2 linked regions of the Stegostoma tigrinum genome follow. Each later gene encodes a partner of the first gene's protein in a complex. Links are inferred from orthologs where the notes say so. Each region holds a gene or a part of one and is shown on either strand. Other genes may lie near its edges.

Region 1 (8,052 bases):
TTTTAGAACAAATGACTGCTGCCCAAAACACATTTTGGGAAGGAAGTAATTTCCAACTACTTCTGTGCTACAAATTGGAAACTCCATTGTGATAACAGAATATGGAGGATTCCATGATTACTGATTTTCAATCAGTCCGATCTCACGTGCTTGTAAAAAGAGGAAGTTCATTAAGATGCTGAGTTGGGTTGGATTTCTAATACATTCTTAGATCAAGACAAAATGTAATTAAAAGCAGAGTGTGTTAGCAGTTGCAAGTTACTAAACCTGAGAGATGCAGAGGATTGATTGATTAGTATTTTCAGTAATAATAAAAAAGTAACATTACACAAGGCTTTGTCCAAAGACCAGGAATGGAGAATTTAAGTAACTCATACGGGTGGTTCTGATGAGTATGATGAGAATAAACAGTATGAAAATATTGTATAATTTGGTGAAAATGGGTCAGGTCATGACTAGCTCATTTCATTGTTGCACTGAATCAGTTAACAGTCGCACCTTAACAGCACATGGGGTTGACTGACAAAACAGTTACTTGCAAACTTTTGACTAGATAAAGTGAAAAAATTAAATTTATTGCTTCACTAAAAACTTTTGTCAATCTTATCTTTCCTTTTTCCACTTGAAGACTTACTTAATGATGGTACATCACCCAGGGCCATGTTTGTGCAATTCCATTAGCAGTTTTATACCAAACCTCATGGAAGGACTATTTTTTAAAAAAAAGTGTGACAATATTATTGTCCCCACAGATAGTCCATTATTTAGGATCAGGGGAGAGGATCTGATAGTTCAAAGGGTAGGGGTCAATTCAGGTAATCTTATGTCTAGTGAAGCATTGACCAGAACAGTCAGATAACTGAAGAAAGGCCACAACGACGGGAGGAACAAGGCACTCTTACAGGTAAATATTAACATTGATTTTTCAAGGAGAGGGCTGTGTGTTTGGCATAAGAAAGCACAGAATTTAAATAAAGAAATATCATTCAAATTTATACAGCATTTCAAGAGGCAAGTTTTGGAGGAAACGATTGTGAAGAATGGAAATCATTAAAACATTATCAATATTTGGAGTCACATTACCACTCCCTGCAACACCCCACCAGTCTGTATCTACTTTTCAGAAAAGACCCATTTATTCCTACTGTTTTCAATAGGCTAACCGGTCTTCTATCCACCTCAATATGCTTCGCTAAACCCATGAGCTTTAAATTTTATATGTTAATTTCATGAGACTTTGTCAAAAGTCTACTGAAAAAAAACAATCAAAATAAGTCAAATCCACTAGCTCTCCTGATCAGCACTACTGGTTTCATTCTTCAGGATTCCAGCGGATCTGTCAACCCTGATTTTCCTTTTGCAAGTCCGTGTTATTTCTGGATCTACCGCTGTTCTTTAAGTGCTATGCTATAAAATCTGAGATAACAAACTCTAGCATTTCTCTCCCCCCTTACCCCTAACTACTGACATTAGACCCACAAGTCTATAAATCCCTCTCCACAGCTCTTTTTCAAGATTAGACTCCCAAGTCTAAAGAATCACAGATGATTGACCACTAAAGCATTCATTATTTCTGCAGCCACTTCAAATACTTGTGTAGATTTTCAAGTCCTAGTGATTTATCAGCCTTTAATCCTATCAATTAGTCCAACAATATTTCTCTACCAGTACAGACTTTCTTCATTTCCTCCCTCTCACTAAACCCTAATCTACAAAGCCAGGTTGAGGTTTGTTGCCAGAAGTTTTGAGAAACATGTCTGCTGCCACTAAATGTGTGTTTGGAGATAAAATTGCATATAATTGGATTAGATTGCTGGTTTCTCCCTCTCTCTCCTTTAGCGATCTGCATTTCCCTTGCTATGACTGCACATAATTTGAAGAATTGGAAACAGGGGATTTAAGTTACAGCAGATAATAGATGCAAAGTGCCATGGGTATTTTAGATCGGTTGGGGGGGGGGGGGGGGGGGGTGGAAAATGCTGCTTGATTGTGTATGATTACACAAGTGGAAAAGTGAAAAGAGTGTCGCTTTGCCCTAATAAGGGGAGATGATCAGGAAGGAGTCAGATTGACACAATCTCTTAGCACAATGAAATTGAAATGCTAATGCTTACGCAGGGACCCCACAAATGATACATCTTTTAAAATCCACCTATAAGGTTCAAATCTTCATTATTCAACTGTGAAGACACTCCGCTGATGAGTACTTTGATTCTACTACTTGCAGGAAGTGACAGACCCATCAAGGCCATGGCTTCTTACAGATGTGAAAGTCAAGTTGTTGCAGCCGTACAACCGTAGGGCTGTGCTCTCATTGAAGAGGGGGAAGAGATGACTTGTAGTCATTTAACCAGAGTATTACCACACCTCAGGCAGGGGAGGGGTTGAGAAGGAGACTCATGGTAATAGCAGCTGGTGCAACAATTCAACTCACACTGCTTGCATCACATATCAGTCAACTGAGCTAATGGAGCTTGAAATGGTATTTTTTTAATGAGACACTTCAAAATAAGTTTGCTACAATGGGAGTAAAGAAGATAGTATATCCATCGAATATTGTGCATAGTCGTTCCTTGAGATAATGCAAACTTGAGTTGGGAAAAAGTTAGAGATTGACTTGCTGACTGAAAACAAATCTGAAGGAAAGGAAATATCAAATTGAAATGACTAAATGCAAGGTCTTGACTATCAGATTTACTAAATGAAATGCATTTACAATGAAATATTGTTACTATTTCTAAAGACAAAGCATGCTGATTAAAGAACCCATTGTCAAATAAATTGTTAAATCAAAGACAATCCCATTCATGACAATAATACTTTGATGTTATTGCATGTAACAAATACTTTAAGGAAGCATACTTATCTGCAAATACTTGTTTTTTTGCTACAGAGCCTGTCTATCCTTGGCAGAAGCACAAAAAAAAATGGAGAGGACAGACTTTTTAAATAAACATAACAGCATGAGAGCACAACAGAAGCAGAAAGAGTAGAAACCCAACCAATGAAGGGCACTTAGGAACATGGGAGAGCAGAGGACCCAAAAAAGCAACAGGAACAAAAGAGAGCAACAGAAAAACAGGAGAGACACTAAAGTTCTTCTTTGACAATGACACCAGAGGTTGCGTTAAGATTTTTTGTAACAAAGTTTGTTGCAGAGTTATGGATCTTATAAAAAAAAACTTTCCTTCCAGTTGTTTTGTTTAAAAATTCTAATGTACACTTGTAAAAGTAAAACACCTAAAGGCAGCAATTTGTAATTGGACATGGAGTGGTGACAGTGTTATGGCATGTTCATTCACATTTACCAACACAGTAAACCGTAAAACAATTCTAAACCTTACATTCTTGAGGTCTTGAAACCTGTTCAAAAGTTTTATTCAAGATAACAAAGTGTGAAGCTGGATGAACACAGCAGGCCAAGCAGCATCTCAGGAACACAAAAGCTGACGTTTCAGGTGTAGACCCTTCATCAGAGGGGAATGGGGAGGGGGGCTCTGGAATAAATAGGGAGAGAGGGGAAGGCGGACCGAAGATGGAGAGAAAAGAAGATAGGTGGAGAAGAGAGTATAGGTGGGGAGGTAGGGAGGGGATAGGTCAGTCCAGGGAAGACAGACAAGTCAAGGAGGCGGGATGAGGTTATTAGGCAGGAGATGGAGGTGCGGCTTGAGCTGGGAGGAAGGGATGGGTGAGAGGAAGAACAGGTTAGGGAGGCAGGGACAGATTGGGCTGGTTTTAGGATGCAGTTGGGGGAGGGAAACGAGCTGGGCTGGTTTTGGGATGCAGTGGGGGAAGGGGAGATTTTGAAGCTAGTGAAATCCACATTGATACCATTGGACTGCAGGGTTCCCAAGTGGAATATGAGTTGCTGTTCCTGCAACCTTCAGGTGGCATCATTGTGGCACTGCAGGAGGCCCACGATGGGCATGTCGTTGGAGGAATGAGAGGGGAAGTTAAAATGGTTCGCGACTAGGAGGTGCAGTTTTTTATTGCGAACCAAGCAGAAGTGTTCTGCAAAGCGGTTCCCAAGCCTCCACTTAGTTTCCCCAGTGTAGAGGAAGCCATACCGGGTACAGTATGGTTTGCACTTTTAATTCCCACTTTAAAGAACTATTAACATAGGAATGGCATATTTTATAAATTTTAAGGATCACCCCTTTCCAAAATTCTGAATCTCTAGAACGTTTACTCTGGAACACTTCCAACAGTAACCTAAAGACAAAGCATTTGCTCTGTGTTAAAGATATAGAAGATATCTCACTCACCACCCCAACTTTTGAATATTCCTTTAGCAATTAAGTACTTGAAGAGAAACTGTTGCTTTAGGCCAGGGACAGGTGCCCATAAAAATGGGAACTTTACAAGTCCGTAAATTTAATGAACACAAATATCCATTTGTTTGCTAAATGTTGGCCTTTATTCCAACTTGAAATGGTCAGTTTTGAGAACTATCTAAACTGCTCAAATAATTGGCAGTGCTCTTCAAAATGCGAATAATTCGTCATCCTTACTGTCTGGGGATAAAATGCTCACATGGATTCTAAAGTGAACTCGCTGTTTATAGAAGTGAAAAGAAAGGCGATTACTCCGAATTAGCGCACAGGTGTCAAAGCACCTGATGGAGTCTTCATACCACCAACCTGCCCAAAACAGACAATTGGAGTGTGCCGACCACAGCGAAGACACAGTTCACTCCGTGCTTCAGACATTTCAGTATAAACGAAGACGTATATAACTAAACACGAGACTACTCAAAACCGCCAAATCATCCAAACGCAATATTACGACGCAAGGTCTGTCGGGAAAATAAATCACGCGAACCAATCCTAATCTGCTCTCTGTCCCGTCCAATCAGAAACGTAGGAGGTGTTCACAGCGCGAAGGCTGCCGGGTGGAAGGACTGGGTTGTACGAAGGATAACAATTCCGCAGAGACTGCTGGGAAGGAGGTCGATTTCCTCTACTTGCATTTTTCCCCCTTCACGCCCTCCACCCCCACCAACCAGGTGGCTCGCAAGGCAGGCTGGGAAACGAAGCCCTGCGTGTGTGTATTGGTGGGGGTGCACAGAAATTGACGTGGTGTTCGTAGGAGGGTTCGTGTCAGTGGAAATCTCTGTAAAACTGGTATTTAGAGAAAGAGGTACCGGTGGTACAAATAAGGTCCGAAGTATCTAGATCAAACACCATCTAAACATCTGATGGGGATTGCGTTAGTGACAGGTGAGTACGTGCCAAGGAGAAGTAGCAGCGCGCGACGTTCTCAACTGTCAACGAGGAGGAAAAGGCAGTGGAATAAGGTGGCGTTTTGGTGTCGGTGTCTCTACCACAGTCAGAGGAGGGAGGGGGTTCAAGGCTTTGCCATGCAATGAGGGGAGGAGTGGACAGACAGAAATACAAGTTGTGGCCCGGCGCGGACACAACCTGTATGGCATTCCGTTGGCAGCACAAGAGACATTTCATCAATTAGAATGATCAAGGACCCACGCAGCCTTTTCTTTTTCTAAGAAGTGCCAGTATGTTTCGCTCTAGGTTTATTCATATCATTGTTCATGCGCGGAGAGTCTCATTCTCATCATAAAGTGTGTTATCAGCTCTCAGATAAACAGATACAAGGGATAGAAAGTATGGAAATTGGATAGTGAGTTTTCAGTTGATATCAAGCCACAGAGTGAAGATTGAGTGATTTGGGCGAACTACATATACTGCAGATTTGTTGGTTTTTATTGTTTAAATTGTACCTTGGATTCTTGTGTAAAATTGCACTTAGTGGTTTTCTCAATGTGTATAATTTTTAATTTTCTGATAATTAGTTAATGTTTAGATAATGGTATTAGGAATCAGATGTTTGTAAGATGACATTGGAATGATTACTGGGCATTGTTCTGCACTCATAGGAATTGGATCTTGTAAAATGACTTCAATTTACAAGTAGTAATTAGTGAGGTTCATTTGCTGGAATAGTTCTAAATTAGTTAATTAGAACTGTGAAATTTTGGTTTTTTTTGGATTCAGAGACAAACTATTCAGTATATGTAAAATTATTCAGGTTGGATGTGCTAACAATTTTAGCCTTTTGTTCCCTCCTGTTGCTTGAAGATCTTTAACCCACGTGTTGCAAAGGGAGTCTAAAGGGTCAGTATGCCTGCTTGTCCCCTCCCCCCCACTGCATCCCAAAACCAGCCCAGCCTGTCGCTGCTTCCCTAACCTGTTCTTCCTCTCACCCATCCCTTCCTCCCACCTCAAGCCGCACCTCCATTTCCTACCTACCACCTCATCCTGCCTCCTCGACCTGTCCGTCTTCCCTGGACTGACCTATCCCCTCCCTACATCCTCACCTAATATCGCCTCTCTACCTATCTTCTTTTCTCTCCATCTTCAGCCTACCTTCCCCTCTCTCCCTATTTATTCTAGTTCCCTCTCCCCATCCCCCTCTCTGCTGAAGGGTCTAGGCCCGAAACGTCAGCTTTTGTGCTCCTGAGATGCTGCTTGGCCTGCTGTGTTCATCCAGCTCAACACTTTGTTATCATGGATTCTCCAGCATCTGCAGTTCCCATTATTCCTGGAATTCTGTTTCTTTTAAACAACATTTCCGATTATCTATGTCATGCTTGATAAATTTAAAAACAACCTTAGGTGTTGCAAAGACACTAAAATTGGCGTATTAGAACCTGCTGAATTCTTAAGAAATTGGTTAGGAACTAAATGATAAACATCAAAGGAACAGAAATTTGTACCTTTGTTTTCGTTAAAGTTGTATCTCCGTTTTCTTCTGGCCAGTACACTCATCTCCACAGTCAAAGACATTCACTATTTGCTAGAGAGTAATGCAACAGATATCTGTTGCTCTCTGAACACTTTTCAAGTCACTGTTAAAGGTCTGTGAATTTTAACTCTGTTGTGAAGGAATGTTTGACGATAGGGAATCGCAGCTGAGCCGCTTCTAGTCCTACCTGACACTAGTCTATTTCCAGCAGCAGTTGCTGCATAGAAAACTAGAAAATCTATCCTATTTTTCACTGCCCAATGGAGGGCTTCTGGGACCAATAGTCATGATTTCATTACTTTGATAATGTAAATGAACATGTGAGTCTAAAACCGTTTTTGATTTTGTATAGCTCATCTATTATCTGAATGTAAATGGAAACCATTAGGACATCTAAGTTTGTAATTCAGCAAAAGTTTTAAAGGAACTTGAGTAATCTTATGTTTTTAATATTAATCTTCTTGACATTTTATAACCTAATAAAACTGCATGTAACAACAACAATTCAGCAAAGAAAAATGCATAGTATGATCATGATATAGAATTTCAAAGCTGAGGAGAAAGAAGGTAAACATACCAAACAGAAAATTAAGTTATCCACAAGTATTTTTTTCCCTCCTCTTCCTCCAGCTATATGTATTGTGGTAGAATGATTACCCCAACACCATTTCATTCACATGGAAAACACTGGTGAAACCTGTGGAATTCAATAAATGACAAGTGTATATTATCATATTTTTATATTTATTGCTGCTAAACCCATAAGCTTATAAAAGGATTTTGCAATTTATAATTTAAAAAGTTGACTGTAGAGCTCTTGCAGGAGTAGCATTAAATGTGAAGAAATAGTGAATGTCTAGTTTGGCAGTTTGTTCAGGACTATATTTGTTGATTGCTGTAATATTCGTCCTTAGTAATGTTATATTTGAGCAAATAGAAGCTAGTTCTAATTGATTATTTCAAATATGTATTAACCTGGAGTTTTCCTTGCACTTGAGAATGAACAGATGCTGAGCAGAAAGACAAGCAGCAGTTTTGCACAGTGTAGCCAAAAGTATGGTCGTGAAATAGTATGAGGAGAAATTTGAAATTGGGGAGAAATTTCAGACGAGCAGTGTAATGGTTGAGAGTGGAATATAATGTCAGCTAGTGGAGTGAAAGATATCTGTAGTTACATATCTGGCAGACTAAAATTATGCAGGTTAACACCTTTTTGGAGGATTCAAAGTGAGAATGAGTGTATTCATGTAGATTTGCTATGGTAATGAAGCTCAGGAAGGTCATGAGACA
Region 2 (7,958 bases), about 26 Mb from region 1:
GAGAAGATTAGAGCATGCTTAAGAAAAATCCTATTCAGAAAGACCATATAGATTTGATAGGCTGAATGGCCTCTTCTGCCCTGTAATGCATGTCATTATCTGATGACTTTCCCAGTCTCTCTTGGCAATGCACGCAAAAAGCAGTCAGTTCAAGTCACAGTCTGCATTGTAGGCTGCAATGTCGGGTCAACACACTTGAATGTTGCAAAATGTTTAAGAGGGTCAAGGTTGCACATAACTTTCATCTTCTTTGAAGCCCTATCCATGGTGAGTCAATTTTATTTGGAAATTAAGTAAATCAGGTAAGGTTCATGACAAGGTGAATGATCATGCTGTGTTGAAAAATAAGCCTCATGCAATGTTCTGCTTCATTCCCATTAGGGGAAGGAAACTTGAGCCATTGAAATTTCATAACAAGGAGTTGCTAGAAGAGACCAAGGTTGTATTGTTTTAAAGAAAGGCTTCTTCGCATAAGGAGCTGCAAGAGTTTGGAATTGTCTACTCAAAAGAGCTGTGAGTACTCAATCTTTGTTAATATTCAAGACTGAGATTAATAGATTTTTGTGTACTCAGTGAGTTAAGGGATTTGGAGAGAGAGCAGAAGGTAAGTTGAGGGAAAAGATCAGCCATAATCTTCGTTGGATGGAAGAATAGGCTTGAAGAGTCAAATGTCTTCCATCTGCTTCTATTTTTCTCTCTCTCTTTGGAAAAGTTGTTGTGTGTGCATTGAGAGATATAGAAGAGAATATAATTACATTTTTCGGAGACCTGTCAAAATCTTGACTTGCCCTCCCTATTGGCATTAAGGGTCTACCTACAGCAAATGGACTATAGCAATCAAGAAGACAGTTCACCATCACTTTCCCAACTAGGGATGGGCAATAAGTCCTGGCACTGCCAACAATGTTCAAATTGCATAAATGAATAAAAAAAATTTCCTGAAAAAAGAAACCGGGCAAACACAAGAAAGTCAAATTTCAAACCATCTCAAATTTCACATTTTTACATTTATTCAGATGAATGCAAGAGGAAAAGATTTGACAACATGAGAAAATGGTGAAAGATCATTTGCATAGTTGGTAAATTGTTGACAGAGATATTATGTTCAATTTTAACCAGCACAAAAACTCAGCTGCACAGTTAACACTGTGAGAAGAATGTCAAGGAACGTAACATTATATGAAGGGCGCAGTCTCCATTATAATGTAGGAGAATGACAACACTTCACCAGTATTTTGTTCACAACCGATGTTAGGGATTTCCTGAGGCCTATAATGGGTAAGTTAACAGCAGAAGGGTTTTCAAATGCCGTACCTGTGCTAATAAACTGAATGCTGGTTTATAACTGGTAGATGGTGATGCAATGGTATGTCACCATGCTAGTAGTACTAGAGTCTCAGGCTCATGTTGTGGGGACATATCCTCATGGTTCACTCAAACCATCCAAAATTCCATAGCTAATCCTTTTAGAACTCACTGTACTCCACACTTAAATTTAAAGTAAGCAGAAGAGTGCATGACCATATTTCTGGGAATGATGAGAGTTCTGACATAGGGGAGGCCTTATAATCGCAGCCAAAAGGACTGGTAAATATACTGCTCATACTCTGCTGCCTATGAGCAGTGATTCAAATGCAAATGCTCTGAATCAAACAGTGTATCATTTTTCAGAGTGCTGATTAGGACGTAAAAGAAAGATAATGTGATCACTGACTTAAATCACAGTGGTGTGACAACAGCTTGCATTTAAGTAATATTTTTATTAGTCACTTGGTACTTCAGAACTTGAATATTGCTGAAAAGAGAGAGATGTTGTCCAGGTTTTTCATTTTACACACATTAGGATAGATACAAGACTGACAAATTTCAAGTAATCACGGCACACTAGCTTGGAGAGCCGTTAGTCCTGCATTGCTTTCTTTACAGCAATGCATTAGTGAAATGGAGTAAATTAGCTGACCAATCAGAGCCTTTTCTCCATGATATAAATCATTATAACGGTTTGAAACCTGGCATTCTTGCATTTGACCTGATGAGTACAAAGCGAACAGTTTCACCAACATGTTCAGCAACATTGAAAGGTTTTAAATACTCAGTCTTTGATAATATTCAAGACTGAGACCATTAAGATTTTTGAGTACTCAGGAAATTCGGGGATTTGGGTTGAGAGCAGAAGGTAAATTGAGGGAAAAGATCAGGCATATCTTATTGGATGGACGAAAAGGCTTGAAGAGTCAAACAGCCTTCCTCTGCTTCCATTTCTCACTGTTTTGGAAAAGTGTAACTTTTGCCCTGAGAGGTATAGAAGAGAATATATTAAGTATTGTGGGTCTACCTATAGCGAAGGGACTGCAGCAGTTCAAGAAGATTATTCATCACCACTTTCCTATGGGCAACTAGGGATGGGCAATAAATGCTAGTGCAGCCAGCACATCCAGATTCCATTACTGAATAATAAAATGAAAGTTGCTGAGAAGAAGCACATACTGCCAAAGGTATTCCTCTTGAATTTATCAGGATGAACAGAAAAATGCCAAATTTCAAACAATCTCAAACTTCACATTTTGCATGAAAAGATTCAACAACATGAGAAAATGGTGAAAGATCATTCTAATAGTTGGCAAATTGTTGACAGGGGGATATTAGGCTCAATTTTAACCCAAGTCTTTTTATAGGAATTGAACACAGAGCTATGTAAAGAGACATTAGTGCAGACGGTCAAAAGTTAGGTCAGAGAAGCAGATTATAACGACCATCTCAAAGAAGGAGGGAAAGGCAGAGATGTGGAAATGTTCAAAGAGGGAATGTTAGAGTTACAACATGTCATAAATGGGAAAAACCAGTGAAGACTTAACTGATATATTTTCAAGGTAACAGAAGTGTGGAAGTGGGTGAACATAGCAGGCCAAGCAGCATCTTAGGAGCACAAAAGCTGACGTTTCGGGCCTAGACCCTTCATCAGAAAAGGCCTTTTCTGATGAGGGGTCTAGGCCCGAAACGTCAGCTTTTGTGCTCCTTAGATGCCGCTAGGCCTGCTGTGTTCATCCAGCTCTACACTTTGCTATCTCAGATTCTCCAGCAACTGCAGTTTCCATTATCTCCGTTATATTTTCAAGTCAGGATTGTATGGGGCTTGAAAGTAAATTTCCAGGAAGTGGTGTTCTCATGTATCTGGTGTCCTTGTCCTTCTTGATCACAGAGATTGAGGTATTTAGAAAATGCTGTCTAAGAAGCCTTGCTGAGTTGTCACAGTACATCTTTTAGATAGAATAGATTGGTGTCTGTTGAATCAGTGGTTGACTCTTAAGTTCTGTTAAGTTAAAAGGCAAAAGCAAGAAGGAGAGGCAGACCCAGTCTAACTTCTGTGGAGTATTCATCATCAGGATTTGTCATTGACAAAGACATCAAAGGAGAAATGGGGAAACAGGCTCGACGGGCTAAATGGCCTCCTCCTGCTCCTATTTTCCATATTGCTCTGTGGTCCTACCGAGATTCTCCTTCAAGGGGTAATGCTTTGCACCCACTCGAACAATAAAATCTTAGAAACCCTATAGTGCAGAAAAAGGCCATTCAGCCTAGTGAGCCATTTGGATCAAGGTCAATTGCAGAAGGATTCTTTCGATACTGCAGCACTCCCTCAAACAGGGCAGCACTCCTTCAGTAACGCTCCTCAGGATTCATTAAAAATGTGCTGCCATTAGTGTGGCAGACAAAATTTCCTATGAATGGATGTTCTTTTACAAGTGTCAACAAGTAGTTCAAGCTAGTGTATTGCATCTAATTCTGCAGACAATCCTCTAATAAGGATGTCAAAGTGTAATTTTGGGACAAAAATAGAAATTGCTGGAAAAGCTCAGCAGGTTCAGCAGCATCTGTGGAGCGAAATCAGAGTTAATCATTTGGATTGAGTGACCCTTCCTCAGAATTTAGAGATAACGTTTCGGGTAAAGTGGCCCTTCCTCAGAATTAGAGTTGAGTAATAAATGCTGACCATTTCAGTAATTTCCAAAAACCACAAATTAATAAAAAGGATCATGACAATGTGGTGCTGATTTATTGTGATGGCAACAGGGATGAGGGACTTTGGTTACGTGGAACGATGACAGCAGCTCTACTCCTGTACTTAGAAGAATGTATAGCAACTTTATTGAAACATACATGATTCTAAGGAGACTTAAAGCAATGGCGCAGTTGCTCAGTAGTTGGCACTGCTGTCTCCAGTACCAGAGACTCAGGTTTTGAGCAACTGTCTATGTGGAGTTTGTACGTTCTTACTGTGTCTGCATGGGTTTCTGTAGCATGCTTCAGTTTCCTCCCACAGTCCAAAAATGTGCAAGTTAGGTGGATTGACCATGCTAAGTTGTCTGTAGTGCCCAGGGATGTGCAGGCAAGGTGGGTTAGCTATTGTAAATTAAGGATTATAGGGGAGGGGCCAGGTTTGGGTGAGATGCTTTTCGGAGGGTTGGTGCAGACTTGATGGGCTGAATGGCCTTTTTCTGCACTGTAGGGTTTCTAAGATTTTATTGTTCGAGTGGGTGCAAAGCATTACCCCTTGAAGGAGAATCTCGGTAGGACCATAGAACAATATGGAAAATAGGAGCGGGGGAGGCCATTCAGCCCTTCGAGCCTGTTTCCCCATTTCTCCTTTGATGTCTTTGTCAATGACAAATCCTGATGATGAATACTCCACAAAAGTTAGACTGGGTCTGCCTCTCCTTCTTGCTTTCGCTTTTTAACTTTACTGCTCATTGATACACTCCCTCGGCACTCCAACTCACTGCCACAGTCACCGCCTCAACAAGGGACCCCGCCCTCGCCACGAGACAGACAGCCGGCGGGACCAATCGCAAGGATGAGTAGCGGACAGTAGGCGGGGCCAGGTGGGGGCCAATCGATGGTGGCTAAGGGGCGGGGTTTGCCGGACGTCACGTGACGGGCGGGTGGTAGGCTGGCGGCCGAAGGAGTGAGAGACTGTATTGTGTGAGGTGGGGCGGCTGGCCGAGTAACCGACCGATTGGTGTCCACTCCCCTCACGCCCGTTCCGCGGGGCGGAGAGAAGGTGACTTCCATCGCGTGGTGCCGCCGCCCCTCCTCCTCCACCACCTCCTGAAAGAGGGTCTCTGCCTGTGGCAGGTAGGTGGGCGCGGAGATCCTTGCGGCCCTGCTCCCTCCCGCTTGACGGGTTTCAGGAGGAGGCCGGAGGGTCAGGGAATAGGGCCGGCAGCTGGCATGGCGGCGGGAACCGTTAAATCAGGCGCGCGCTTCTGCCCCCGGGGCATCGGGCACTACCAGCAGAGCAACCCCTTAGCTCCCGTTCATCCCCACCCCGCCCCCGGGTCGGAATACCCTCACCATGTCCAATATAGACCCGTCACCTTTCTTCCCAGCCCCGCCGTGTGGTCCGAATCCACACCCCCAGCCCCCGTCCGACATAGACCCGTCACATTCTCTTCTCTTTTCCCCCTCCCCGCTGTCCGAATGCTCCACCATTTCCGATATTCTCCAACCTCGCCCCGACGCTTTCCCCTCCTCCGCACCCCCCCCCCCGCCTGCCTGACATTCCCCCCGCCCCGTTCCCCTCCCCCTCGTCCTGTCTGCCACTTCACGCCCCCGTCCTGTCTGACTGCCCTCTCACACCACCACCCCCCCCCCCCGTCCCGTCCCGTCCCATCCCATCCCGTCCCGTCCGCCTTCTCTTCCCCGCTCCTCCCCTCCCTCACCAACCCCCGGCCCCCTCCACTCTAATCCTCCCGACACTCCACGCCTCTCCCCACCCCCCCCCCACCCCGACCCCCTCCTCCTCCCCCCCACCCCGACCCCTTCCTCCCCCCCACCCCGACCCCTTCCTCCCGACCCCTTCCTCCCGACCCCTTCCTCCCGACCCCTTCCTCCTCCCCCCCCCCCACCCCGACCCCTTCCTCCTCCCCCCCCCCACCCCGACCCCTTCCTCCTCCCCCCCCCACCCCGACCCCTTCCTCCTCCCCCCCCCACCCCGACCCCTTCCTCCTCCGACCCCCCCGCCGCTTTCCCCCCGCAACCCCATCCTCTCCCCCCGACCCCATCCTCTCCCCCCGACCCCATCCTCTCCCCCCGACCCCATCCTCTCCCCCCGACCCCGACCCCATCCTCTCCCCCCCCGACGCCATCCTCTTCTCTCCCCCCCCCGACCCCCTCCTCTCCCCCCCCCCGACCCCCTCCTCTCCCCCCCCCCGACCCCCTCCTCTCCCCCCCCCGACCCCCTCCTCTCCCCCCCCCCGACCCCCTCCTCTCCCCCCCCCCGACCCCCTCCTCTCCCCCCCCCGACCCCCTCCTCTCCCCCCCCCCGACCCCCTCCTCTCCCCCCCCCCGACCCCCTCCTCTCCCCCCCCCGACCCCCTCCTCTCCCCCCCCCCGACCCCCTCCTCTCCCCCCCCCGACCCCCTCCTCTCCCCCCCCCGACCCCCTCCTCTCCCCCCCCCGACCCCCTCCTCTCCCCCTCCTCTCCCCCTCCTCTCCCCCTCCTCTCCCCCCCCGACCCCCTCCTCTCCCCCCTCCTCTCCCCCTCCTCTCCCCCCCCGACCCCCTCCTCTCCCCCCCCGACCCCCTCCTCTCCCCCCCCGACCCCCTCCTCTCCCCCCCCGACCCCCTCCTCTCCCCCCCCGACCCCCTCCTCCCCCCCCCACCCCGACGCCATCCTCTCCCCCCCTGCCATCCTGTCCCCCCCGACCCCCTCCTCTCCCGAACCCCTCCTCTCCCCCCCCCGACCCCCTCCTCCCCCCCCCCACCCCGACGCCATCCTCTCCCCCCCTGCCATCCTGTCCCCCCCCCCTCCTCTCCCCCCCCGACCCCCTCCTCTCCCCCCCCGACCCCCTCCTCTCCCCCCCCGACCCCCTCCTCTCCCCCCCCCCCACTCCGACGCCATCCTCTCCCCCCCCCGCCATCCTGTCCCCCCCGACCCCCTCCTCTCCCGAACCCCTCCTCTCCCCCCCCCCACCCCGACGCCATCCTCTCCCCCCCTGCCATCCTCTCCCCCCCTCCTCCTCTCCCCCCCCGACGCCATCCTCCCCCCCCCCCCCCCCCGGCGCCATCCTCTTCCCCCCCCCGGCGCCATCCTCTTTCCCCCCCCCGGCGCCATCCTCTTTCCCCCCCCCGGCGCCATCCTCTTTCCCCCCCCCGGCGCCATCCTCTTCCCCCCCCCCGGCGCCATCCTCTTCCCCCCCCCCGGCGCCATCCTCTTCCCCCCCCCCGGCGCCATCCTCTTCCCCCCCCCCCGGCGCCATCCTCTCCCCCCCCCCGGCGCCATCCTCTCCCCCCTCTCCTCCCCCCCCCCCTCCTCCCCCCCCCCCTCCTCTCCCCCCCCCCTCCTCTCTCCCCCCCCCTCCTCTCTCCCCCCCCCTCCTCTCTCCCCCCCCCTCCTCTCTCCCCCCCCTCCTCTCTCCCCCCCCTCCTCTCTCCCCCCCCTCCTCTCTCCCCCCCCTCCTCTCTCCCCCCCCCTCCTCTCTCCCCCCCCCTCCTCTCTCCCCCCCCCTCCTCTCTCCCCCCCCTCCTCTCTCCCCCCCCTCCTCTCTCCCCCCCCTCCTCTCTCCCCCCCCTCCTCTCTCCCCCCCCTCCTCTCTCCCCCCCCTCCTCTCTCCCCCCCCTCCTCTCTCCCCCCCCTCCTCTCTCCCCCCCCCTCCTCTCTCCCCCCCCTCCTCTCTCCCCCCCCTCCTCTCTCCCCCCCCTCCTCTCTCCCCCCCCCTCCTCCCTCTCCCCCCCCCTCCTCCCTCTTCCCCCCCCCTCCTCCCTCTTCCCCCCCCTCCTCCCTCTTCCCCCCCCCTCCTCCCTCTTCCCCCCCCCTCCTCCCTCTTCCCCCCCCCACCCCCTCTTCCCCCCCCGACCCCCTCTTCCCCCCCCGACCCCCTCTTCCCCCCCCGACCCCCTCTTCCCCCCCCGACCCCCTCTTCCCCCCCCGACCCCCTCTTCCCCCCCCGACCCCCTCT

What was found.
Region 2: ELKS/Rab6-interacting/CAST family member 1-like (region 1) and ppfibp1b share a complex: the UniProt entries of both Homo sapiens proteins name them as parts of the cortical microtubule stabilization complex. The link is inferred for Stegostoma tigrinum from reciprocal best matches to the Homo sapiens genes ERC1 and PPFIBP1.

What each region holds. Positions count from the first base shown.
Region 1 is NC_081371.1:20,749,663-20,757,714, forward strand, and holds the start of ELKS/Rab6-interacting/CAST family member 1-like, read left to right. Parts: upstream 1-5,015; 5' UTR 5,016-5,219; intron 5,220-8,052. Other genes in the region: DNA repair protein RAD52 homolog, read right to left, coding at 4,641-4,709. UniProt on the Homo sapiens protein: Regulatory subunit of the IKK complex. Probably recruits IkappaBalpha/NFKBIA to the complex. May be involved in the organization of the cytomatrix at the nerve terminals active zone (CAZ) which regulates neurotransmitter release.
Region 2 is NC_081371.1:46,972,561-46,980,518, forward strand, and holds the start of ppfibp1b (liprin-beta-1b), read left to right. Parts: upstream 1-4,934; 5' UTR 4,935-5,133; intron 5,134-7,958. UniProt on the Homo sapiens protein: May regulate the disassembly of focal adhesions. Did not bind receptor-like tyrosine phosphatases type 2A.